Linked DNA regions of Canis lupus familiaris. The protein of the gene in region 6 interacts with the protein of the main gene of each other region in a pairwise test. Links are inferred from orthologs where the notes say so. Each region holds a gene or a part of one and is shown on either strand. Other genes may lie near its edges. The genes, in order: CCHCR1, LNX1, TBC1D22B, MYO5B, NGLY1, TRIM54 and TTC23.

The links.
Region 1: the proteins of TRIM54 (region 6) and CCHCR1 interact in binary tests that used the Homo sapiens proteins (3 or more experiments, as listed by UniProt). The link is inferred for Canis lupus familiaris from reciprocal best matches to the Homo sapiens genes TRIM54 and CCHCR1.
Region 2: the proteins of TRIM54 (region 6) and LNX1 interact in binary tests that used the Homo sapiens proteins (3 or more experiments, as listed by UniProt). The link is inferred for Canis lupus familiaris from reciprocal best matches to the Homo sapiens genes TRIM54 and LNX1.
Region 3: the proteins of TRIM54 (region 6) and TBC1D22B interact in binary tests that used the Homo sapiens proteins (3 or more experiments, as listed by UniProt). The link is inferred for Canis lupus familiaris from reciprocal best matches to the Homo sapiens genes TRIM54 and TBC1D22B.
Region 4: the proteins of TRIM54 (region 6) and MYO5B interact in binary tests that used the Homo sapiens proteins (3 or more experiments, as listed by UniProt). The two-hybrid records come from large-scale screens. The link is inferred for Canis lupus familiaris from reciprocal best matches to the Homo sapiens genes TRIM54 and MYO5B.
Region 5: the proteins of TRIM54 (region 6) and NGLY1 interact in binary tests that used the Homo sapiens proteins (3 or more experiments, as listed by UniProt). The two-hybrid records come from large-scale screens. The link is inferred for Canis lupus familiaris from reciprocal best matches to the Homo sapiens genes TRIM54 and NGLY1.
Region 7: the proteins of TRIM54 (region 6) and TTC23 interact in binary tests that used the Homo sapiens proteins (3 or more experiments, as listed by UniProt). The two-hybrid records come from large-scale screens. The link is inferred for Canis lupus familiaris from reciprocal best matches to the Homo sapiens genes TRIM54 and TTC23.

What each region holds. Positions count from the first base shown.
Region 1 is NC_049233.1:987,770-991,269, reverse strand, and holds part of CCHCR1 (coiled-coil alpha-helical rod protein 1), read left to right. Parts: coding exon 1-68; intron 69-2,371; coding exon 2,372-2,535; intron 2,536-2,638; coding exon 2,639-2,774; intron 2,775-2,936; coding exon 2,937-3,047; intron 3,048-3,226; coding exon 3,227-3,376; intron 3,377-3,500. UniProt on the Homo sapiens protein: May be a regulator of keratinocyte proliferation or differentiation.
Region 2 is NC_049234.1:46,800,672-46,804,171, forward strand, and holds part of LNX1 (E3 ubiquitin-protein ligase LNX), read right to left. Parts: intron 1,747-3,500; coding exon 1,544-1,746; intron 1-1,543.
Region 3 is NC_049233.1:6,546,618-6,550,387, reverse strand, and holds the end of TBC1D22B (TBC1 domain family member 22B), read right to left. Parts: intron 2,480-3,770; coding exon 2,351-2,479; 3' UTR 501-2,350; downstream 1-500. UniProt on the Homo sapiens protein: May act as a GTPase-activating protein for Rab family protein(s).
Region 4 is NC_049228.1:79,088,776-79,092,275, forward strand, and holds part of MYO5B (unconventional myosin-Vb), read left to right. Parts: coding exon 1-114; intron 115-1,709; coding exon 1,710-1,790; intron 1,791-3,500. UniProt on the Homo sapiens protein: May be involved in vesicular trafficking via its association with the CART complex. The CART complex is necessary for efficient transferrin receptor recycling but not for EGFR degradation.
Region 5 is NC_049244.1:18,435,003-18,438,007, forward strand, and holds part of NGLY1 (peptide-N(4)-(N-acetyl-beta-glucosaminyl)asparagine amidase), read left to right. Parts: intron 1-2,321; coding exon 2,322-2,499; intron 2,500-2,874; coding exon 2,875-3,005. UniProt on the Homo sapiens protein: Specifically deglycosylates the denatured form of N-linked glycoproteins in the cytoplasm and assists their proteasome-mediated degradation. Cleaves the beta-aspartyl-glucosamine (GlcNAc) of the glycan and the amide side chain of Asn, converting Asn to Asp.
Region 6 is NC_049238.1:21,336,859-21,340,358, forward strand, and holds part of TRIM54 (tripartite motif-containing protein 54), read left to right. Parts: intron 1-2,664; coding exon 2,665-2,837; intron 2,838-3,354; coding exon 3,355-3,500. UniProt on the Homo sapiens protein: May bind and stabilize microtubules during myotubes formation.
Region 7 is NC_049224.1:41,888,863-41,892,953, forward strand, and holds the start of TTC23 (tetratricopeptide repeat protein 23), read left to right. Parts: upstream 1-1,291; 5' UTR 1,292-1,424; coding exon 1,425-1,476; intron 1,477-2,568; exon of another isoform or gene 2,569-2,583; intron 2,584-4,091. UniProt on the Homo sapiens protein: Participates positively in the ciliary Hedgehog (Hh) signaling.

The DNA.
Region 1 (3,500 bases), on a different chromosome or scaffold from region 6:
TCCGAAAGAACCTGGAAGAAGGGAGCCAGCGGGAACTGGAAGAGATTAAGAGGCTGCACCAGGAGCAGGTGAATATGGGGGTGAGAAGGGTTCAGTTCCTGCTGGAGGAACTGGCCAGAAGCTTCCTAGCAAAGAGCAAGTTTCACAGAAAAGTCCCCATGACCAGTGGAGTAATAAGATGTCTGGGGAAGGTGAAAGACGAATTTGGGTGTTTTGGTCTTTGTTCAGTAGGAAGTACTTTGTGTTCCTGCTTCACTCAGGATACCCACTTCATGTGGGAGCATTGTAAGGGTGGTGAGGAGGGTGGGAGAGGTCTCCTGAGGTGGACTGGGGAAAGGAGAGGACTCATTCAGCAAGCATTTCTCAGTGCTACCTTTTGCCATCTGAGATCTGTGTGGGGACTCTGGGGTGGGCAAATCAGCCTGAGTCCTTGTGGGTGGAGCTGACACCCAACTGGGGGACTTGCACATTCAACACCTTATGTAATCCTAATTAATTAATTGCAATTGGGAGAAATGCCAGGAAGGAGAAGGACAGGAAGCCCTAATGTGGACAAGGGCATTAGGGGAGACCATCCTAACCAGTTGACATGTTAAGAAGTGAAACCATAAAGATACTGGAAGAAAACATGGGTGAATTCCTTTTTTTTTTTTTTTAAAGATTTTCTTTTTTTAAGTAATCTCTACACCCAAAATGACCCTGAGATCAGGAGTTGCATGCTCTATCTACTGACTGAGCCAGTCTGGTACCCCTGGTGAATTCCTTTATAACAGATTGGTGAAGGCTTTTCTACCTATGAGTTAAAATCCAGTCATTAAAGGAAAGATGGATACATTGGCTTTATAATTTTAAAATTAAGGATGTGTGGCGCAGCTGAAGGGACAGGTCACTTGACACACCCTCTCACTTGACTCTCTCCCTGTTCATCCCCCCCCAACTCCTGCCTCCTTACACAACGGATGGTACTTACCCACCAAAGATCTCTTGAAGAGTTACCCTATGTACCGGGAAAATAGTCCTGAACAAACACAATGACACAGTAAAAATGACAAAGTAAAATTAAAGAACAGATGATAAAAAATATTTACAGTTCATATCGTGAAAAAGGCTAATATCCCTAACATATACTCTGTGCCTAGAAGTTGATAAGGGAAAGGTAGCAATCTAGCCAGAAAATGGACACAGCAGGTAGTTTAAAAAAAAAAATGGCCTTTAGGTTTATGAAAGATGCATCTTGATAAGTTGTCATTTGAGCTGAATAGGAGTTGGCTGGTGAGCTGGCGACACTTGGCAGCCTGTGGGGCATAAGGAGGCCAGAGGGTCAAGGGGTATGAGTGTAGAAGAGGGGGGGTGCCCTGGATGGTGTACGCACGGGGAGTCCTTGGGGCCTGTTCAGAACTTTGTACTTTACCTTGAGAGCAGTGAGCTCTGTTTTTGTTATTTTAAGATTTTATTTATTCATGAGAGACACAGAGAGGCAGACACAGGCAGAGGGAGAAGCAGGCTCCATGCAAGGGAGCCTGATGTGGGACTCGATCCCGGGACTGAGCCAAAGGCAGCTGCTCAACCGCGGAGCCACCCAGGTGCCCTGATGAAAAATTTTTAAATAGACACTGTCTGTGTCTCTGCCTCTCTCTGTGTGTCTTGTGAATAAATAAATAATCTTAGGGGATCCCTGGGTGGCGCAGCGGTTTAGCGCCTGCCTTTGGCCCAGGGTGTGATCCTGGAGCCCCGGGATCAAGTCCCACGTCGGGCTCCCAGTGCATGGAGCCTGCTTCTCCCTCTGCCTGTGTCTCTGCCTCTCTCTCTCTCTCTATCTCTCTCTGTGTGTGACTATCATAAATAAATAAAAGTTTAAAAAATAAATAAATAAAGATTTAAATAAATAAATAATCTTAAAAAAATTTTTTTCATCTATTTGATAGAGAATGAATGGGGGGAGGGGAATACAGAGTGGGACAAGGAGACTCCCCACTGAGCACGGGGCCTGTCTCTAGCCCCAATATCATGACCCGAGTCAAAGTCTGACGCTTAACCAACTGAGCCACGCATGCGGCCCCTGCCCCAGAAGGCTTCTGAAGACTGGTCAGGAGTTTGTTGGTATTGTGCAGGCCAGAGAGGAGGGTGGCTTGCTAAGGTTGGAGACAGAAGTGAAGATACATTTAGTGGAGAGAGACCTGGCAGGGACCGCTGACAGAATGGCAGGTGGACGGAGGACAGTGGGGCACCAGGGACTGTCTCCATTTTGCCACGTTGTTTTCTAAGGTTATGGAAGGTGGGATTGCAAGGACAGGGTCTGAGCGGGAGTGGATTCAGAAAGTCCAGATGTGGGAGTGAGCTGGCCCCTCTGTGCCCTCTCTTCTCTCCACAGCTCTTGTCCTTGACACAGGCACACCAGGAGGCTCTTTCCAGTTTGACCAGCAAAGCTGAGGGCTTGGAGAAATCTCTGAATAGTCTGGAAACTAGGAGGGCAGGGGAAGCCAAGGAGCTGGCTGTGGCCCAGAGAGAGGCCGAGTTGCTACAGAAGCAGCTGAGGTAAAGTGGGGGTGGGCAGCAAATGGGATCCGGCAGGCGGGTGGATGTGGCGGGTCTCCAGGGTGCCTCACTGATGGCTGCCCGGTTCCCATCCCAACCCCAGCAAGACCGAAGAAGACTTAGAGGCACAAGTGACCTTGGTTGAGAATTTAAGGAGATATGTGGGGGAGCAAGTCCCTCCTGAGGTCCACAGCCAGACCTGGGAATCGGAGCGACAGGAGCTTCTAGAAACAGTGAAAGTGAGAGAGTGCGCCTCTGTGTGGGCTGGAGGTGGGGTGAGAAGGCTCAGGGATCAGATCCTGGGAGACGGGTGGCCCCTGAAAGCAGTTGCTGACAAGGGGTGGCATCAGGCTTGAGGGCCTGCAGAGCAGCCGCTCCCTCCTTTGCACTTCCTCCTGCAGCACTTGCGGGAGGACCGGGATGGCCTGCACACCACGGCGGAGCTGCTGCAGGTGCGTGTGCAGAGCCTCATGCACATTCTTGCCATGCAGGAGGAGGAGCTGACCAGGAAGGTAGGCCCCTTGCCTCCAGCAACTCCCCGAGGGTGGGAAGAGTTGCCGTGCTGCCAGAACCTTCTGGGACCTTCTCTTCAGTGAAGCCCTCTTCTTGCTGTGGCTCTTGTGGCTTGGGTGGGACAAAGAAAACAAAAAAACAAAGCCTGGGCGCACTTCTGGCCCTTCCTCCAACGCAGGTCCAGCCTGCAGACTCCCTGGAGCCCGAGTTCAGCAGGAAGTGCCAGGCCCTGCTGAAGCGCTGGCGGGAGAAGGTGTTTGCCCTCATGGTGCAGCTGAAGGCCCAAGAGCTGGAGCACAGAGGATGTGTGGCGCAGCTGAAGGGACAGGTCACTTGACACACCCTCTCACTTGACTCTCTCTCCCTGTTCGTCCCCCCACCAACTCCTGGCTCCTTACACAAGGGATGGTACTTACCCACCAAAGATCTCTTGAAGAGTTACCCTATGTACC
Region 2 (3,500 bases), on a different chromosome or scaffold from region 6:
TTGTGCCTCATTAATTATCTGCAGGGCTGATGCCCCATGGGGCTTTCTGGTTTTAATTACTCTGGCTAAGCAGGCCCAGCCGGAAGGCTCAGCCCCTAGCGGGAGTCACTGCTTTGCAAGAAAACCATCTCGCAGCAGCCCCACACTCTGCGCAGGGTCTGCAGGACCGGGGCCCCACAGGAGAGAGACAGCCTTCTTGAACTTCTGTGGTTGGGTCGGATTTCTTGTACTTGCAGCCAATTGATAGAGGAGGCTCAGAGTGAGATTTTAAGAGGTCTTCCTGCAGGACACAATCATCATTTTTTTTTTTTTCTGCCTCTCCAGGGATGGATGAAGGCTCGCGTGCACAGACAAGCCTCACCACTTGTATCCAAGCACAGGTGAGCTTAAAGCCCTTGCTCCGCTCTGTCATGTATCCTGTGTCTCGTTTCCCCCATCACACCCAGGCCGGGGTCATCTGCAGGACAGTCCTGGCAGCCCTTGGCCTGCAAGGGCCACCTGAAGGCCCTAAGAATCAGAATGTCTTATGTGACCCTCCCGGGCAGAACAACTCCCTCCCTCTGGAGGGAAGCCACGTAGAGTCCACTGACTGCACTGTGGACTGTCTCTAGAGGTTGACGGGCCCGGCCTTGTGCTTTACCCCAGAGACCAGGGGGAGGTTTGATCGCTGCTTTAAATGCTTTCTTATTCCAAATAATAATAATAATAATAATAATAATAATAATAATAATAATTTTTTTTTTGGCAGAGAAATAGCTCACGCTGTATCAGGAGCTGGCCCCTGAACGGGATGAAACTCTTCTCTGGGTATCAGACAGGGAGTCTACAGCCAGGGAGGGATTCCTTGTCACTCTCGCCGCACGTCCGACCTCTGTGTGATGAACAACTCTCCCTTTGTCCTTTCTGCTCAAGAGTCTTCCCTAGCATCCTTCCTCTCACCCAAGCCCCTGAGCACAGCAAGGCCCAGGGTGTGTTGTTCCACCTCCTGCCCGCCCTGGAAGGTCAGTGCCTTGGTGGGAATAGCTTAGCCTCACCTTTTGGGTTTTCTCATGGAGGGCCATTAAGCTACAGGAAGTTTCCCACAAGGGGGGTGTGTGAAAGGGAGTGACCAGATCCAAGATGACATGTTCCATTAACCTGCTCTAAAAACAATACGAGAAGACAAATAGATGCTCCAGTTTCATATTCTTTTATGTTATGGTTACTTCAAGTGGGAGGAGGGGTTGGGAAGGAGACAGGAAGAGAAGGAGGTAGAGAAAGGGAAGCAGGGACAGGAGCTGGAGGGGAGACGAGGAAGGAGGGGAAGACAGAGACAGAAATACTCTTACCCAGAAAGAGGCAGAGGCTATAAGGACAAGACAGAAGGGGCAAAGACCTATCTCCATTAAATGACAACTCTCAGGGAAAGAGCCCTATCGGCGTGACAACCCTAGAAAGTGACCGCTTCCCATCCATCTGGCATTTCCTCCATCCATCCGCTGACTTGCTCCGAAGGGATTTTAGCAAGCCCCCTCTTCCCGGCCCCACCACGACTGCGGCCTACCTTCAGGATGATGTCTCCTGGCAGCAGCCGGCCGTCCCTGGCAATCACCCCGTCGCGGTAAATGTGCTGGATGATGATGTGGACCAGTGGGGTTTCGCTGCCTCCCACGAGCCTAATGGAGAGGCTTTCGTTGGGATCCACTCGATTGATCTTGACGCTTGTAATTTCACCATCTGGAATCAGGTGATACAACCTTGGAAAGACTAAAATGGACAAAGACAGTATTTATTTAAGACACCCACCCGGCAGACATTTCCAAGCCCTCCTCTTCTTGCCAAACCTTGGTGTCAGCCAAACTAAACTATTCATCGTTCCTCATACATGTTTTCCATTTTCCTGCCTCCTTGCCAGCATCGGTTTCTCTGCCTGGAATGTTTTTCATTCTAGGCCTAGACCCAATTTTTCCTTCAAGACTCGCATGAAATGATCCCTTTCAATTAAGCTCTACCTTGGTCCCTCTTGCCCTGCTCTGTCCAAACATCCCATTCCGCCCCCCACCCCCCACCCCAAAAGCTTGTATTTCTCCCCAGCACTGAGCCCTCTGTTGTCATTCATGCTCATTTCATTCATCCTCCCCCGGGACCCTAAGATCTCTGAGGACACTGTTTGCAGCTGTCCTGTGGCTGTGTGTACAGATCACGAGCGCAGGCCAGAGCCTCCTGAGGGTGGAGGGGTGCATGAGGACGAAGGGTCACTAAGGGAGAGACCACAGGCTCAGCGCCTCCCTGTCGAGGGACAGAACAGACCAAACCAGCTTTTCTGCTTTCTCAGGCCATTTTGAAGATTTCTCCCCGGCAGTCCCTGCTCTTCAGGCTCAGGGCACTCCCAGGCCTCCCTCCCAGACATTGCTGTCAATAAAGGGAAGTCAGCCAGCCCGATCCCTGACCAAGGAGAGGTGGTGGCATCTGGAGGCTCATCCCTGCTCTGGCGGGATTGCTGAACTCAGAGCTAACAGGAGATGCAGAGAGCTCAGACTTTACCTTTGAATGGAAGACTCTTCTTTCCCCATGAAATCCTTCCCGGGTCCCTTCAACACCAGCCTCCACCGCACCCCACCCCAACCCGACCCCACCACTGGGCCCACATGCAGAAGAGCTTCCTTAGTCGTCTGGTTTAACAGCAACAGACACCATAGTGCGGCTTTATTCTGCATGTGAGGGCGTTTGAGCTGAGAGTGGGGAAGTGACCTGGTCTGCTGGAGGCTGCAATGTAAGGTGGCCGTCAGAGCCAGTCACACCCTAGGGCTCCAGGTGACCTGCCGTCCTGTCACCTCCCTGGGGTTTTGGAACAACCAGGGATTCACAAGGGTCCCACGGGGGACTCGCCGGAGAGACCCATAAGCCAGCACTGTCTGCACAGAAGTGTGCAGAAGGGGCACCGTGGGATGCCAGGCAGGCTGCACCTGGTTTGGTGGCGCCGGCGGCTCCTCCCTGGTTGCTGAGTTTGGATGCGGTGGGCGGGATGCTTTTGTCTCCTCTAGCTGCCGACAGCTGCCTCTGCCCTAAGATTCTCTCTTCATTAAGTCAGCTGGGAAGGGGGGAAACAGCAGGTCTGGCTCTGCATAATGAGCCCTGTTTTCAAAACCCATGACCTTAGTCCATTTTCCCTAATGAACTATGAGTTCATTAAGAAGTGCTCAACTCTCCAGGAACAATACAGAAAGAATTAAAATGACTTCAAAGTACCGTAGGACATGATCAACAAAGCAATTTAGCAGCCAGAGGAAGCCTGAGACGTTGCAAATGCGCGTCCTTAACCTCCGCTGGGATGTAATTTAATGTAAGATTGGCTTTGCTGGCAGGCTGTGGGCAGCGGCCTTAATCCGTCAGTTCCTGGTGCTAACAGTACTTGGGTGATTGCTTTCAATTAATGTTTAAACTACTTTGATTACATTAAGTAGGCGTTACCATAAGCATTTGTTGGAACAGGTCTGGTGACAGGCAATGGCGATTTAAAA
Region 3 (3,770 bases), on a different chromosome or scaffold from region 6:
GTCTCCATCCCAGGACCCTGAGATCATGACCTGAGCTGAAGTCAGACACTTGACTGAATGAATGAACCACCCAGGTGCCTGGTAAATTCCTCTGTCGTGTAAGCCACGATTATTTTTTGGTTTGTGCTGCATGTTGCTGAATGTAATCCTAATATAGATCCTGATTACTGAAACTAAGCAACACTCTCAAAGGAGTCATAGGAAGAAGTTCTGGGTGAAGAAACCATTCAAGTGTTTATCACAGGGCTTGCTTGGCACGTGGCAAGGTACTCTATAAATGTCAGTGGTTAGGTCCCATGTTCATTTTTGTATTTTCTGCAGGATCCATCACAGAGTAGATGCTCAGTCCTCTGTGACTGCCTGGTGATTTTCTGTTGATCTCCTGCTTGCCCCACAGAGGACTTGTCCCCTAACCCTTACTAATACCAGCAAGAAAAACCCGAGGAATGGGGACCCCTTTGGTTCCAGGTTATACAAATCCATGGGTGAAAAATCAGCAGTGGAGGAGGAAATACACTATTTATTTACAATTCTTTCACTTTATCCACAATTTCCATACAAACATAAAAACTAAAAAAATAAAACCACCACTTGGGAACACAGGTGTCTTTCTTTAATTAGTCCGGTTGATGGAGGGCCACAGCCCTCTCACTCTGTGAAGGAGACCATTGAGGCACACTGAGGGGGAAGAGGAGACGGTTAGGAAGAATGCCTGAGAAACAGCTCCAGATGAGAATGTAACATGCCAGCGTGGTGGAGCTTCACTGGCAAAGACTCAAAGGTATCACCCACCCGGGGACACTGACCGGCTTCTCCAGAGAATGACGGCTGCTTGCCACCATACCCCCACTGCCCCTCCACTACGGAACTCCAGAAATCAAACAGGCGCCACCCATCTCATGAGCTGGGTGGGGTATGAGGGTGACAGTGGGGGACCCTGGATGCCTCTCACTGAGAAGAGCCCCAAACCCCAGGGAGACACAGAAAACCCCTCTCGTTGGCACGGATGAGTCAGTCACAGCTTCTGTCTTGAATATGATGCTGACTTAAAACGGAAAGACAAAGGCTCTCCCCCAGCCTCCTGGGGAAAGGGAAGGGCTGAAAACATGCAGGAGGGCTTCTGCCTCTGGAGCCACCTCTCTGGGAGGCGGCTGGGCTCCAGTGAGAGGTGGGGGGGCTCTGTCCACCCCTCACGGGGAAGGAGTGGGGCAGATGCTCCACAAAGAGCTGGGGAGGGAAGAGAGGAACACTCTGAGACACTGATGCTCGGGACAGCCGCCACCGACTCGCCACCGACTCTCGAAGCAGCTCCATCTGCTCGGTGGCCTGCGCTTGGCAGACTCCCACTTTTCCCCTCACCGGAGGGCACCCAGAAACCAACCTGGAGCTGCCAAACGCACCTGCCTGGCAACTTCCTCTGTGCTCGTGACCTAGATTGCTTTCACATGTTGATGCACATTATAAATATAAAATCATATCTGCTACAAAGAGGACATATATTTGTACATCTTTACCCATATACATAATAACACAATTTACACATAATATCTTGGAGTGGGTCATCATGGAAAAAGGGTTTGTAGAGGTATAAGGCCCCTTCCCCCCTCCCCTGCCCTGATCCTTCTCAAGGGACGCCTGTATACTTGGTCACCGGGGCCCTTCCCAGCTGTTTGTCATGGGGCTGGTCTGGATACGTGTAACTAAATGCTGATGGGTGTGTACACCCACATATACACACAGACGCAGGCACACACAGACATCTGGTGAGAAAAGGAAAAAGAAAATTCCTAGCCCTTGGGTGCAGGCCTCTTCCCAGAGTTAGAAGCATCGGTACCTCCATCTGAGGACAACAGTCTGAAGCTGCCCCTCACTGGCTCAGACAAGGGCAGAAGGGGAAGGGCTAGGATGGGAGGGGGCGGGGGCAGGAGTCTTGAAAACATAAGGCGTTTTTTGACCTGTGATCAAATCAAACTATGTCACAAAAAGCAACGGCATCAGTCAGGGGCCAGGAGGCGAGAGACAGTCAGCCCATGTAGGGACAAATCCCTGAGCCTTCCCCTTCTTTTGTCCAGTTTCTTTTAAAGGGGCAGACAACCCTGTACCTCCTTTCCTGTCTTCTCCCAGAGCTGGGCCCATCCACATGTCATGGAATACTGAGAGTGGTCCAAGAAACACATCCAGAGACGTGGAGTGGTGGACAGGCACGCCAGAGTTAAGACCTGGGCGGCGGATGTGAGCTTTTTACAGCAGGAGTGGTTCCTGGCCGGAGTCCACGGCTCGCACAGTGGCCACAGTGATCAGATTGCCATCAGAGATGGGGACAGTCTGGGTCCCCCTGAGGAGACAGCACCTATCGGCGGTAGTGATTAGGGGCATCAGCGAACATGTACTTTAGTCTGTACGCCTCAGCGAGAAGCAGCCCAATCTCTTCGTTGCCCCAGTGTATCGTAGGTAGGTTTTGTAGCAGCATCAGGAGACCCTGGAAGGCCAGAAAAGAAGCTTTTTATCATGCCGGTACTATAGACCAAGGGATCAGCAGGCCCTGGAAGGGGGGTCCCTTCCTTCTGGATCACACATCCCATAGGGTCAGCTCCCTCCTCCCAAGCGGCACTCAGCCCCCAACTCCCAGTTCACCTTCAGGAAGCTCTGAAAAGCCTCTGTTGATTCTCTCGTATCCACTAACACCTGCCTCTTTTAAAAATACTATAAACAGAGAACGACACCAACAAATAAAGGTATCTAAAAAGAGAAAAAAAATCACGCATCATCCAACTACACCTCTCTTTATTTTCAAGTTTTTCTTTTCAGCCTTTTTCTCACACACCTATTTCCTTAAATAGCTGTGATAATAGTTAGGATTTTTATATGCTTTTTAATCATCTCCTTTTACTATAACTTTAGTGTTTTTCCATGCAGCCTTCAAAAAATGACTATTGTCAGTGTTAGTATCCCATCATGTGGCTATACTCTAATTTACTCAACCATTTACCTTTTGTTAGATATTTGTTTCCTTAAAAAAAAACTTTATTCAAAAAAACCCCTTTATTCATATTCATAAATGTGTATCCTTTTGCATTTGCTACATTCCTCCCAATCCCAGGGTTCACTTCTAATTGTATTTATTTAGCCTCTGCCCTATTCTCCAGAGACCGCCTCAATCTACCTGTCCAGTTTATTTTCTAATGCCCATGCCTCCTCCAGCTAGGTCCATTTCAGCCGGGTTGATTTGTGCATCCATGGTTTTAATTTATGTTGTTCCTTTAACTTGGGAGACTTTCTCTTTTCTCCTCTACCTATCTCAATCCTATTCTGTTCTCAAAGCCCAGGTCCCTCAAACAGCTCCAGAGAGACAGCCTGTTAAAGAGGATATTAGAATAAAAAGAGAATGAGAGGTTGTCTCTATAATTTAGGTCACTACACTGCTGCTGCTGCTACTCAGTGTTCTTTATCCATTCCCTGCCTTTTTAAAAAAGTCTATTTACTTATTTATTTTTAAGTAATCTCTACACCCAACATGGGGCTTGAACCCACAGCCCTGAGGTCAAGAGTCATGTTATAAATAGCAAGACAAAACCCAGAGACATAAGGAGACAGGCAGACTTGATTACATATAACTTCAATATGTCAAGAGGTGCCGAAGGGTGGCGCAGCGGTTTGGCGCCCGCCTTTGGCCCAGGGCGCGATCCTGGAGACCCGGGATCGAATCCCACGTCGGGCTCCCGGTGCATGGAGCCTGCTTCTCCCTCTTCCTCTGCCTGTGTCTCTGCCTC
Region 4 (3,500 bases), on a different chromosome or scaffold from region 6:
GTCCAGACTCTGGAGCCTCTGATCCAAGCAGCTCAACTCCTGCAGTTAAAGAAGAAAACCCCAGAGGATGCGGAGGCCATCTGCTCCCTGTGCACCTCGCTCAGTACCCAGCAGGTATGTGGCCCTGGCACCCCACAGCCCGCCTTCCTTTCCTAGGCTGTTCCCCCTGGCAGCTTGTGTGTGTGTCCATGGTGCTCCTGCGGCCTTTCTGTGCCCCTAATGACACAACAGAAGCTGTCGCAGATGGGATGTTCTCTGCGAACCAAAGACTGCCTTGGTCTGGGGAACGAGATGCCACCGTCCCCCCCATAACTAACTTTCCAGGCCCTCTTGCTCTCATAGAGAGATAAGGTAGCAAACCCACAAAACATTAAGCTTGGATAAAAATGTATTTTTGTTTTTGTTTTTAGAAAGAGCACATGTGCAAATGGTTAGGGGGGAGTGGGGGAGGCAGAGAGTCTGAAACAGGCCCCGTCCCCAGTGCAAAGCCAACACGGGGCTCCATCTCATGACCTGAGCCAAAAGCAAGAGTCAGGCGCTTCGCCCACTGAGCCATGGATCTCCAGTCACCCCTGGTTGGTTGGTTAGGGTAAAAGCATTTTTTTAAACACAATGAATTTTGGAATGTTTCTCACTAGAAATTTTAGATTTTGTTCAGAAATGGGCAGCATCATGCTTTTGGAGTTAAATAAATCACTTTCTTTACCACTATATACTCGTTATGGCCCTGTTTTCACTTAGAATCCATTAACATAATTTTAAACAGTCATTAAGAACCTAGAAGCGTTTAAATGTGCCTTTCCTCCCTGCCGTCCCCTGGCCAAATTGTATTTAGACTAGGACTCAGTTGCAGAGATGTTACCAGTCTATCAAAAGATAAATCTTATCCCCTCGCAGAGAGACCTGCCCTCCATCAGGAGTGTGTGTATTTAGAAATGAGCCACTGTGGAGTGACCTCACAAAATGCAACTAGCATAAGGAAAGGAGAGTTTCTACATTAACTCATGCACCTTCTTCTCCCTGTCCAGCCTTACAGCATGAAATCCAGTCTCAGTCTCGCAAACATACCCCTTTCCTTACCTCCCCGCTCACCACTAAAAGATGAAATGCCAGACTCTTAAGAAAGCTGCTTCCTATAAATGTGCTGAAAGTTTTCAATTTGTATCCCCCTTATTTTGCTTTCAGTTTACTTCCAGAGTTCAACTGGTATTGTTTTGCATTGGGACAGGCTACTCCCACCAAACGATTGTAGGCAGATAGGAGATGATTCTCTTGTTCAATTAGGAAAAATTGTTCCTTTTATAAGTGATTTTGGGGTCATGGGAGGTGGGGTCATGGTCAAACAACCTCTTGTTATCTAAGGTAAGATCTCCAGTGCTCTTTAAGAGATCTTTGAATTACTGGTAGATAAGAGGCTGAGGGTTTCAGGCAACAGTTTCCTAGAATCATTATATTATAAGCCAGGAGCCATTAGGGCAGGTAGGGATGTAGGAGACAGGAATGCAACAGGAGGGCTCAGATCTACCAAAGCCCCTGGTCTGTAGTTTACGGACTGTAGACTCCTCTTCTCAGTATCATTCCAGCTTCAGGGTGTGGGTCCTGCCTAAAGAAGATTGAGTTCTTCTGCCAATGTCCTATATTCTTTGAAATCCAAACATTGTCTTATGTTCGTTTAGCTCTCTGCTAAGCTTTTGTTTGTATTCCAACAGATTGTCAAAATTTTAAACCTTTATACTCCAGTGAATGAATTTGAAGAACGGGTAACTGTGGCCTTTATACGAACAATCCAGGTGAGTTTTAGAATATTAATGAATTCTATAAAATCCTGGTCCAAAACTAGTATCAATTTTATAAACTTTGCTTCTCTTTGTAAATAAAGCTGGTTATGGGGCAGCCCTAGTGGCGCAGCGGTTTGGCACCGCCTGCAGCCTGGGGTGTGATCCTGGAGACCCGGGATTGAGTCCCACATCCGGCTCCCTGCATGGAGCCTGCTTCTCCCTCTCCCTGTGTCTCTGCCTCTCTCCCTCTGTGTCTATGAATAAATAAATAAAATCTTAAAAAAAAATAAAATAAATAAAGCTGGTTATGTTATATGCCAGAAGACCTCAGGTTCTCAGGCTTTCCCTTAGTAAATACTACCCATAAATCACTTACATATGTACACAAAAGACTGAACTTTATCACTCTGCTCAGATTTTAGACATAGTCTAAGTATTATCTGCCACTAGCATGTTATTGAATTATAGCACCAAGTGGAATTAACAAAGTAAGCAGAGTATCAACCCCACCCAGGAACTAAAGAAATATTATTTTAAGAAAACAGTTTGAGCTCTTCAATCTTGTCTCTAAGATGTATAGTTTTGCCCTTAGGAATATGCTTGAAAGAAAATATATTAGGGAAATGATTATTTAAATCTGTCTTGAGATGATAGGATTTTTTTTTTTTTTTTTAAAGATGAGCTTCCTAAAGCCCAGCCTTAGGTGATTAGGCCTGAATACCTGACTTTGTGTGTGACTGAAGCTGACAGCACCTGCATAATGAATCACCTCAAGCTGACTCATAAAATGGTCCAATGGTGATCATCCCTCCTGTTGCTAGATGTAGGGAACATCTTGAGGAGATATGACACTTTCTCAAACATCTAAGCCTCTTTAGCCAGCAAAGTGTGTGGTAGCAACATATGAAAACAGGCGAAAGCAATCAGAGGAGTCAGGAAAAGGGGAATTAAAATGAAGGTTTATCAAAAAAAAAAAAAAAAACTCAAGATTCTTGAGAACATATGGGGTATGAGAAGCTAGTCCCCTCTGATGTGTGCTTGGGATTTTGTTCAGGGTGCCTTACCGCATTTCAGTGTAGCGATCCAGAGATTGAGAAAGTCGGCTACGTCAAAGAATACATGAACTTTTTAGCATTGTGTATACGTAGAGAACAGAGGCTGAAGGCCAAGGGAAGGATGGTGGTCAGTGGGAAGGTGGTTTGTCTAAAGGCAGGGGAGGAAGAGCAGTGACACACAGACCACAGAAGAAAGCAGGCAGAGATTGAGCAGCACGGGGATCAAGAGCGTGGTGGGGCGCTGACTGGACAGATCCAGTTAGGACTCAGCCACAGTCAGCTACTGGAAGTGGAGGAAGAGTCTGCTGACAGAAGAGAAGCCACTGCGCTCTCTCTCTCACCATGGATTTTACATGAACCGGCGTACAAGTTCAGAAAGTCTTACTTGGTGTTGAATCTCTGAGACACACATGCAGAGGGAGAATTGGAACTGCTCACATGCTGGCGATGGCACTGTTTAGGAGGAGAGTCAAAAGTCACGCCAAAGGTTGAAGAAGTTTTGCCATATAAGATGTTGGCCTTGAATTAAGAGCAGAAGGAAAAGGTAGCAGAGGTCGGTCACGAAGCCTCTGAAGATCTGTGTGGTCAGATTTGGAGTCGCCTTCAGCTGCCCATTTCAGTGGCTGGCGACACTACCAAAAATTTCGTTTTTTTTGTTTTTGTTTTT
Region 5 (3,005 bases), on a different chromosome or scaffold from region 6:
CGCTTCAATTATCAAACTGTTATATTCTTAGTAACTTCCACCTATAAAAACACTGAATTAAAATTAGTATATTGTGAGAAAAATATGACATGAATTTTCAATATCAATAGTCTATTTTGTTTCCATATACTGTTTCTTTAGCCTGAGAGACCTTTTATTTTCTTACAATGTTTTGAATGTTTATTTAAGCATTTAAGAATTCAGTGATGAATTCTATCCTATCCTTTAACTTTTTAGAGTCTTAAAGCTGATGCCTTTAGGACTGAAAAATGTAAATTTTAGAAGAAGCAATTCTCTCAGACGTGTTCAGCAGCTATTATAAACCTATGACGGTTAAAACCACAGTTGTGGCCTGGACCCATGTGGTATAATTAAGACAACTCTGAGGGTAAGCTAGGAATTTGAAACTAACCTGACTTCAATCTGTCATATTTTATGCCCACACTTTTTGGGGGAGGGGATCATTTGAAACTACTGAGTTCTAAAAAGACAACAAGGCATGAAAAAGTATATACTGAGACATAAATCTGAATGTGTTGGTCTTTGGACTACTTTTCCCCAGTCTTTTAGTTTCTTCCAACCACCTTTCTTCCAATAACCTACTGTTCAGCTCATCTTTTCCAGTTAATCCCCTATACTAGCCATGTCTTTGAAGTAGTAATTAGGTTATAGATAATCCCCAGATTTGCCAGTAGTTTGGGATAGATGGAACCAATGACTCCCAGGGAGCATTGGTGGAATTCTCAGCCCCAGGTTCTCCTTACCCACAGGTGTAAGAGGAGCACTGCAGTAGGAACAGGTAGGTATTAGAGGAGGTTATAGTGAGGTCGTCCTAAACTTAAGTGGAGCAATCAACACCATATATCTAGGTATGCCCTCTAGTGCAATTGTTGATTATACATACGTAGTCTGAAGAGATCAAATAGTTTTCCTTGGGGAGTGATTGTTTTTAGTTGATAACCTCCAGCTCACTGATTCTAAAAAACTTTCCAATTCAATTAGCTGACATATTTAACCTGGAAGAAAAACTATAGGTTGTGAAATAGAATATCAATAGACTGCTAGCAGTGATTGATTTTTTTTTTTTACTTGATGACTAAAAACAAGTAGTAGGACATTTCCATGACATATGTGTTATATGGTACTTTTGTTGCTCTCAACAAGTAAGTTTGATGTTTCTGGAGGAATATATGTATATGCAGACTTTTAATACTTAAATACTATTTATTAAATCCATGTGAATCCAGAACTGGTGACCCCAGAAAAGTTAAGATTTGGTTAAGATCATACTAAGTACACCTGAAATAAAATAGTTACATTTGGGTAAAGAATTATTGGCAGTTCAAGGTGGAGTGAAATTCTGGAGGACTGTTAAAGATGAGAGTTTAGATTTCAACCCAGTTACTTGCTATACATTCTAGACCATGCAAATGACAGGAACAAAGTGGGCTTTCAAAAACATTAATTAGGCAGTTGGTGAAAGATGAGCATGGAGTCATGACTGTAGTGGTAAGTGCAGTATAAATGAGGAAAGGGTTTTTTTGAGACTTACTTCAAAGAAATGCATGAGTTGTTTTGTGAGTTTGAGCATCTGGGATAACTGATTAAAGAGTCAGATTCTTGGGGGTTTGAGCCTGGGTGAATGGAGTTACTTGTGAAAGGCCAAGGCTGTGGATGTCAGCGTTCACGTCCACATCTTCAAGAATGTGGATGAAACTGAGAGAAGATGAGCTGGAAGTAGCCAGTAAACTTGGATGCCTTAAATAGTATACATTAAAAGTGGTAAGGGTGACTAATAATGAAGGAATGGGAGCATATTATTTAGAGAGGCAAGCATGAATACTATATTTTAAACTACTAGTTAACGATGACTTATTTTCTTAACTTAGAATATATAGCCCATCTCGCTCTAGGAAATCTTATCTAAAAATCCAGATTTAGAAAAGAAGATAAAGAATAATTGTATTTAAAAGGATTCTTCATTTTCACCAGGATTCATCCTAAAGGTCATATGAGATAGCTGGACTTAACTAATTTAAAAGAAAATTTGATTTACCAAAATTTGGTTAGCATGCCCCCCTTAGGGCTATACTTACCAGTGCACCTGTATCCAAGTATTTTTCTTCCAAACCAAAATATACTATAGGAAAAATTGCTGATGAAATGCAAAATGTTCACAGTGAAAATCTTCTCAGTGAGGAAGAAATTAGATTTTTAATAATTTGTATATAGTACCCTACAACAGTAAGACTTTGACTATATGTGTTTTCTGCATTATTTTATTATTTATAACAATTCTTTGTTCCCCTCCTCCTTTGTAGGTATATTTAGCACGAAGGGAAGGATCATCTTATGCTTATATTTCCTGGAAGTTCAAGTGTGCATCAGTTGGCCTAAAAGTAGATAATGTTTCCATTAGAACAAGTAGTCAAACCTTTCAGACTGGAACAATACAGTGGAAATTGCGATCTGAAACAGCCCAAGTAGAACTATTGGGCGGTAAGCATTTGACTAGAGAATTAATCGTGACGTGTATTTAACACTCTGAAGAATAATTGTACTTGAGTTGCTCATACCCAAGATTCATTCATAGTACTGCAAGTAAAAAAAAAGAAAAGAAAAAAATTAAAACTTGTATAACCTTATTCTAATAAAACCACTTCTGTTTTTTATTGTGAAATACAAATGGATAAAGAAAAACCATTTCTTTTGTTTCGAAGGACATATTTCCTCCATAAGGGATAATTTGTATTTATCTTTTTAAGGGTTGATTTTACCTACAGGTTAGGTATATAATATGTATTCCAAAACTATTTCTTTATATTCTTTAAGTTACCAAAAGCAAAGTATTAATTATTTTTTTTCCTCCAACAGATAAAACTCTTCGCTCATATCATGATTTTTCTGGTGCCACTGAAGTTATTTTGGAAGCAGAATTAAGCAGAGGAGATGGTGTTGTTGCTTGGCAACACACCCAGCTGTTTAGACAAAGCTTAAATGACCAT
Region 6 (3,500 bases):
TAGTCCAAGTGAGGGAGTAAATGTTCATTTTCTCCACCATATTTACAAGAAATTCTTGAGGGTTAAATTCAGTGATGCCTGGGAAGCCCATAGCGTGGTGCTCAATACATAATAGGCCCTCAAAACATGTGTCAAATGTTAAATAATGAGTATGGAGAAAGGGGGGAGACAGTGTGGGAGGAAAATAGGTGAAAGACACTACTCAGAAGTTTGTGCTCTGCCCTAAGACTTTAGAATATTGCCCCCTTTCCAGCCATTCAAACATTCACTGAGCACCTTCAGATGCTAGCCACCAGCTAATCAAAGAGAAGTAAGATCCCTCCAGGGTTAGGGTTCTCCCAACACATCCTTACTCACTTGTATTATAAATAATGAAAGCTAATTGTATTAAGCAAAAGCCAGGTGTTCTTACACTTTAACCCATTCCCTAAACTAAACTCAGCAGTATTGATACAATTCTAGCTATGGAGAAGGACAAAGGCACAGACACAACCTTGGATAATCTCAAATTAAACCATTTGGCTTTATGATGGCCTGAAGTGTTAACTTCTTATAATTTACAAGAAATCCCCCCAAAATGTGACATTTGTGGCATGCCAGTCACTCTTGCCAAGACAGGTTTGCGCACTTCACAGGAGCCACATTTCCTGCCTTGTCTACATCTCTTGCTTTTAAAGGTTCAAACAAGACCGTGGACTTGGATGCCCTCTATGTATTCTGGGTGCTGTCACACACACATAAGGGGCCCTCTGGCTGATAACCAGTATAAGGATTTGGAGAATTTCATCAAACTCACCCACAGGAAATACATCTAAATTTTCAAAGTCATAGGTGACTATTTTCTTCATTACTCTCTCTGAGTCCATGGTCTTCCAGCCAGTCAAGACTAGGTCCTCCAGTAAATGACAGAAAACCCAAAATAGCACTGGCTTAAGGAAGCTAAAAATGTGTTTCTTCTCTCAAGCAGAAATATAGGTAGGCACTCCAGGACTGCTTCATCAGAGACTCACTTCTTTTATCTTGTTGCCATTGTCATCATGTGACTACCTCCTGGCTCAACATGGCTGCTTCAACTTGAGCCATTCCATCTTCATTCCAGCCAGCAGGAAGGAGAAAAGAGTAGGCGGTGCCCCTCCCATTATAGACACTTCCTAGAAATGGCACAAAACATTGCTATCTACATCCCAGAATGCAGTCGCCTGGTCACACTCAGCTGGAAGGGAGGCTTGCACACACAGCCTTTATTCCATGTGTCTTGGTTAAAAAATTCAGAGGCTCTATTATTGAGGACAAGGTGAATATGGAAGAACAAGAAGTCTCTGCCAGTCTCTTATCTCTGCTGCTGTCCATAGTGGACTCTTTTGTCTTCTCTGAAGACCAGCTTTTCTGTTCACACTTTCTGACCTCTCCCACTTTCCACTTCCACTTGCACAAGACTACAGGTGGCCACAGTCAACTTTTTGCCTAACTCCACAGGTCTTTTCAGTTTCAAAGCTGCAAGTGGTCTAGCCACCGCCACTTCCCAGTTTCAATTCCAAATTCTGGAGAGCAAATTTGATTGGTTCTGCTTGGATCAGGTGATCACTTTCTCAACTCTGAGCCAATCATCTGTGGCCTGGACCGTGGCAGGGTTCTTGCTTTTAGGATGGGATGGAGCAAGTTCTCTTAGAGGTGTAAGTGATGACCATCTCTTGTAAATCTTCCTTCTGAGCTCACTCTTTTTTTTTTTTTTTAATTTTTATTTATTTATGATAGTCACAGAGAGAGAGAGAGAGAGAGAGAGAGAGAGAGGCAAAGACATAGGCAGAGGGAGAAGCAGGCTCCATGCACCGGGAGCCCGACGTGGGATTCCATCCCAGGTCTCCAGGATTGCGCCCTGGGCCGAAGGCAGGCGCCAAACCGCTGCGCCACCCAGGGGTCCCTGAGCTCACTCTTATCATACATAATACCCAGCTTGCTGGATGTAGTTGTCGGTTTGCTGGGTTTGCTTGCCTTTAGGGCAGGGATGTGTTTGTTTATATCTTATCCCCAGGGCTTCACAATTACCTGGCATGCTTAATATTTGTTGTAGAATAAATAATTCAATCTAGTCCTTAATTTTACAGAGATTGAATGCTTGCTCAAATTTACACAGTAGAACAGTGTTAGGGGCAGCAGTCCTGACTCAGTCTCTAAAATAGTTTCCTAGAATTACCCAGCATGACATGGCTTGTGTGCCCCATTGTTCAGCATTTGTTTCAACTTCCCTGCCAACGGCTCCAGAGAATCTCCCCCAGATGTGGTCCAAGAGAGCCTCAGGAGGACATCGCCTGCACCACAGAATCCATTTCCAATCTTGGCCTTCCTGTCAACATCAGTGTCTCCCCACATGTGCAAGCTGGGCCTTTTTGAAGAGATTCCATCCTGACTGGGCCTTTACCAAAGTTAGGCTCTGGGTGCAGGGATACTTAAGAAGTAATGAGGCAACAGTGGGAAATAAGATCTCCATGGCTACCCATCTGAGCTGCTCTCAGAGGAGGAAGGCCCCGCCATTGGAAAGAGCTGATGTCTCCTCTTCCACCATTCTCCTGCACCTCAGCCCTTTCCTGACCTTTCCTCCTGCCTCCTCCCTGTTCCCTCATGCCTGCCTCACTGCCTGTTCTCTCATGCTACTTGTCTCTATAGGCCTCGAACCCTCTGTGGCAATCCCGGGGCTCCACCACTGTGTCTTCAGGAGGCCGTTTCCGCTGCCCATCTTGCAGGCATGAGGTTGTCCTGGACAGACATGGTGTGTATGGCCTGCAGCGAAACCTGCTAGTAGAGAACATTATTGACATTTACAAGCAGGAGTCTTCCCGGTGAGCTGTTGGGACCTCTTGTCTCTCTAAGGAGCAGGGCCTGGGACACAGAGGGGGAACTCATCAGCCAAAAGGGAAGGGCTGAAATGACCAGCCTGTTTCTTTAGTTTAGAGATAAGAGTGCCGGACCCTAGGAGGGGGAAGGACTTGCCCCAGGTCACCCAGCTCAGGGGTCTCTGATCCTGGTCATGCTTCCCTTGCACCCTCTCCAGCTGGGGAGTGGCTGGTGGTCCACCAGCAAAGTCCTTGCCAGCCCTCTGTGACGTCCTGCCCTGTGAGACTTCCTTGCCCCCTGGAATAGAGGCTGTTCTCGAATCTAGCTCTTTGTATTCCTCTAATGAAGAGCACTATGGAAGTCACTCACCTGCTCAGCCCCAGCCCCAGCCCCAGCTGTGACTGGTAGCTGGCAAAGGCTGAAGAGAAGGTATTCCTGGGGCCCCACAATCGTAGGACCCACCTCTCTCCAGCCTGGCCACTGACCCTTGACCCTTCTGCCACCCTGCCCGCTCCCCTCCAGGCCACTGCACTCCAAGGCCGAGCAGCACCTCATGTGTGAGGAGCACGAAGAGGAGAAGATCAATATCTACTGCCTGAGCTGTGAAGTGCCCACCTGCTCTCTCTGTAAGGTCTTCGGTGCCCACAAGGACTGTGAGGTGGCCCCAC
Region 7 (4,091 bases), on a different chromosome or scaffold from region 6:
ATTCAGTTTTGGTTTATTTTGTGTCCTCTGGCCTTGCTGAAATTGTTTAACAGTTTTAGTAGGATTTTGTTGTTGTTTTCATTTTGTTTTGGGGTGTGTGTGTGTGTGTGAAGATCATGTCAACTGAATTGTGTGTGTGTGTGAAGATCATGTAAACTAAATTTTTTTTTCTTCCTTTCTAATCTGCATGCCTTTTACTTTTTTCTTGCTTTAGTGCACTGGTTAGAATACCCATTAAGTCTTAAATACAAATGATGACAGCAAACATCCTTGCCTTGTTTCCAGTCTAAAAAGAGAAGCAGTCAAACATTCACCATTAAGTGTGATGTTAGCATTAAGTTTTTAAAAAGTTTTTATTGGCCCTTTATCAGATGAAGGAAGTATCCTGCCATTTTTTTTCTGCATTTATTAATATGATCATTCAGTTTTTGCCCCCTATTCTATGAATATGGTGTATTACATTAGTGATTTCAGATGTTAAACCAACCAGCTTTATTTATTTATTCCAGGGATAAATCCCCCTTGGTCATAATATATAATCTTCTTTATATCTTGCCTGATTTGATTTTTCTAATATTTTGTTGAGGACTTTTTGTGTTCAAAAGCATCATGGATATTGGTTTGTTTTCTTATTACGTCTTTGTCTGGCTTTGGTAGCAGGATAATATTGGCCTCACAGAATAGAGTTGCAAACTATTTTTCTGATAGAGTTTGCAAAGATTCATATTACTTCTTTAAAGGTTTAGTAGGATTTACCACTGAAGCCATCTTGGCCTGGGCTTACCTTTATGTAAATATTTTAAATTACTAAATTATTTGCTTGTTATAGTTCTATTCAGATTTTTTATTTCCTTTCAATTCGGTTTTGATGTTTTGTATCCTTCCAGAATGTTTTTCCACTTCATAGCTTGCTGATGCCACAGCTTACCTATGGGCAAGGTTGCTTTTTAACCAGTACACTCTCATACGGTCATAATGGTTGTTGTTTCCCAGGAGCCACTGCCCTGGGGGCTCCTGCCCCGCCCTCAAGCTTCCTACATCCTCCCCCAAGTCAGCCCCCAAGGGTTAACACCTGTAACAGCAGGGGACCTTCTGAACCTAGTTCCAGCATAGTTGCCATCTATACAGATTGGTTGGTCCTCCTGCTAAACCAGTTTTAAATTGTTGAACATCACCTCTTGAAATGGAAGACTGAGACCCCACTTCAGACCTCTTCCTCCTCCCATTTTGTTCTGAGGCTGATCATGTGCTTCAGCATTCTACTGAACAGGTCTGGCAGAAGGAATAGCATCAATTGATTGGATATGTCTGACTGGCAGTTGTGGGAGCCGATTGAGAGGCCTGGGAAGCTTTACCCAAGGCTGGCAGGGAGAGGGTACTGTGTGGCCCTGGGCTGATTTCTAATGAAAATTTAAGCCCCACCTATGGCTATTACAAAGAAAACAAAAGTGACTGATGATAAGCATGTAGCTCCAAGTAAGTGAACTGAAGAGGATGTCTGTGCTAAAGATGTTACTATAAGATGCAACACACATTGACACAGACACATATTTAAAGCAAGGTCATAGATTCACATGTTTCCAAAAGCCAGGCAGGTACCGTGCCTCATTTAATTGGCAGAGATGCACATTTTGGTGTTTAAACATCTCTGAAATTGGAATGCATGTTACCGTTGATGGCAAGTCATAGTTTAATAGCTTTGTGGTTTTATTCTTAGTGGTTATAGGATAGTGATGTATCTGATAATCTTATATCAGTGATGGCTCAGATCAGATTACATTTAGGAAACGAGTGGCAAGTGGCATGGGCTAGGAAAGCCATATCCCTTTATGTCAGCCTTTCACTCTGAAAGAGAGGTATGGTTACAGAGACCTATTCTTTTACTATAAGGATAAAGCAACACAGGAGCAATGACAAATGGCAACTACTTTGGTGCCTCCCTGTCCAGGAGCAATAGGGAGTGGTGGCAACTGGCAATCGCCACGGCTTCTGCCATTCCCCCCTGATGGATTGTTGCCTGTGATGACATAGGCTCAGTATTTTTTTTTAATATTTTTTTTCAATTTTTATTTATTTATGATAGTCACAGAGAGAGAGAGAGAGAGAGGCAGAGACACAAGCAGAGAGAGAAGCAGGCTCCACGCAGGGAGCCCGACATGGGACTCGATCCTGGGTCTCCAGGATCAGGCCCTGGGTTGAAGGTGGCGCTAAACCGCTGAGCCACCCGGGCTGCCCGATAGTGTTGTTTTTATAGGAAGCCAAAAATCTCAAAAGCCAGATCCTAAACCTTCTAATTTTAAAGTAATGGCTTAATTTTTTTTTTCCCCTTTCTGGCCAAAAAGAAAAAAAAAAAAAGCATGTGCAAGTTAGATCCAGCCTGTGAGTGCTTGGATTAAAATGGCTCTTTTAAGGATTTAATATTTTAAGAGGCAATGTGAGACAAACCACTTGTTACAGTTAAGCCGAAAAAAGAAAGAAAAATCCGCTCAATTTCAAAGTTTAGCACTAGGTTCAAGGCCCAGAGTAGCAAATATTACAGAGCATATTACTCACATAGCTTCTAAAATTTCTTCTCTGCCTCCCCTAAGTAGAAGATAAGAAAGTGTGGTTAGATTTGTTGAAGATGTTACATTTCCTTGTTATAAAAGTGTATGATTACTTTTTAAAATGCCATCTTAGGTTTCCAAAGCAAGAATATTTGCTTCCCACTCCTAAAGACTGGTCAATGAAAGTCAGAATGATGTGGTAGGAAACCACCAAATTCTTAGACGACTGGAGTCCTGATTCTGCCTGTGTGACATGGGGCAAGTAATTTAGCTTCTGTCAGCTTCATTGTCCTCAGTTATAAAACAGAGATAATCATACCTGTCTCCCACATGGCTATGGCAAGGGCCACAAAAGATAAAATATGGGAAAGCATAAAGGGTTATGTAAATACCAGTTGATATTGCCCAAATCATGTGAGTAGTTGGACCAGCACAGATTTTTGAATCTCAGATTCCCAAACCCAATCTCCTGCTCTTTTTGTAGACCATAACACTTACTGAAATGATCAAATCATCAACTAGTGGGCTGAATAGATGAGAAAGCTTAAGTCAAGAGCTTGTTAGAAAAAAAGTCAGCCACCATTTTGGCATCAGAGATAGCACGGAGTCTCTGTACAGCAGGGTTTAGGGAAAGCTTAAATGTTGAATCAAAAGATGAGCCTTCCACGTTTTGAAGGGCTACCCAAGAATGGTTTTGCTGGGATTGATTGGCCTCTGAAGTTTTCTCAGACTGGCCTTCAACCAATTTCTTCCCTTTCTCATGTTTTCATTCTATATTGTCTCATGAAAGAAAGAAAAGTTCTGACTTTCTTCCTTCTTGGTGAAAATGTAAAGCTCTATTTTGGATTATTAAGGGGTGGCCACCTTTACCTTGGTAGGTAGGTCCAGGTTAACTGCTCAACACTTAACCTCTAGACATCTCAAATTCTATTTGTATAAAGGCATAGAAGGTTACTAATTTTTTTTAAAAGGAAAGGAAAAATATTATCTTTAAAAAGATGTCTCTCAGGACTAGTGATATATTTTTAGCTTCTTTTTTCTTCTAAAAATTTTTTAAAGTAAGCTCTATACCCAACATGGGGCTTGAATTCATGACCCTGAATCAAGTGTCACATGCTTTACTGACTGAGCCAGCCAGGTGGCCCAATATATTTCTAACTTCTGAGTTGGACATTCTTCTTCTTTTTTTTTTTTTTTTTTGAATTGGACATTCATTTTTTTTTTTAATTTTTTTTTTTGAGTTGGACATTCTTATAGAAATTTTCTCCCATAGCCTCAAATTCAATCTGGCTGAGACCAAATTGATTATCTTATCAAAAGGATAATTCTCATTTATCTTGTTACTTCTGTCCATGACATTACTGTGTTTTAGGGGTCAGTAAACTTTTTCTGTAAAGGGCCAGATAATAAATACTTTAGGCTTTGAGAGCGATACGGTTTCTATCACAAATACTCACTTCTGCTGTTGTAGTACAAAAGTGGCCATAGATAAGATGTAGATGGATTAAAAGGGCTGTGTTCCAATAAAGCTTTATTTATGAAAAC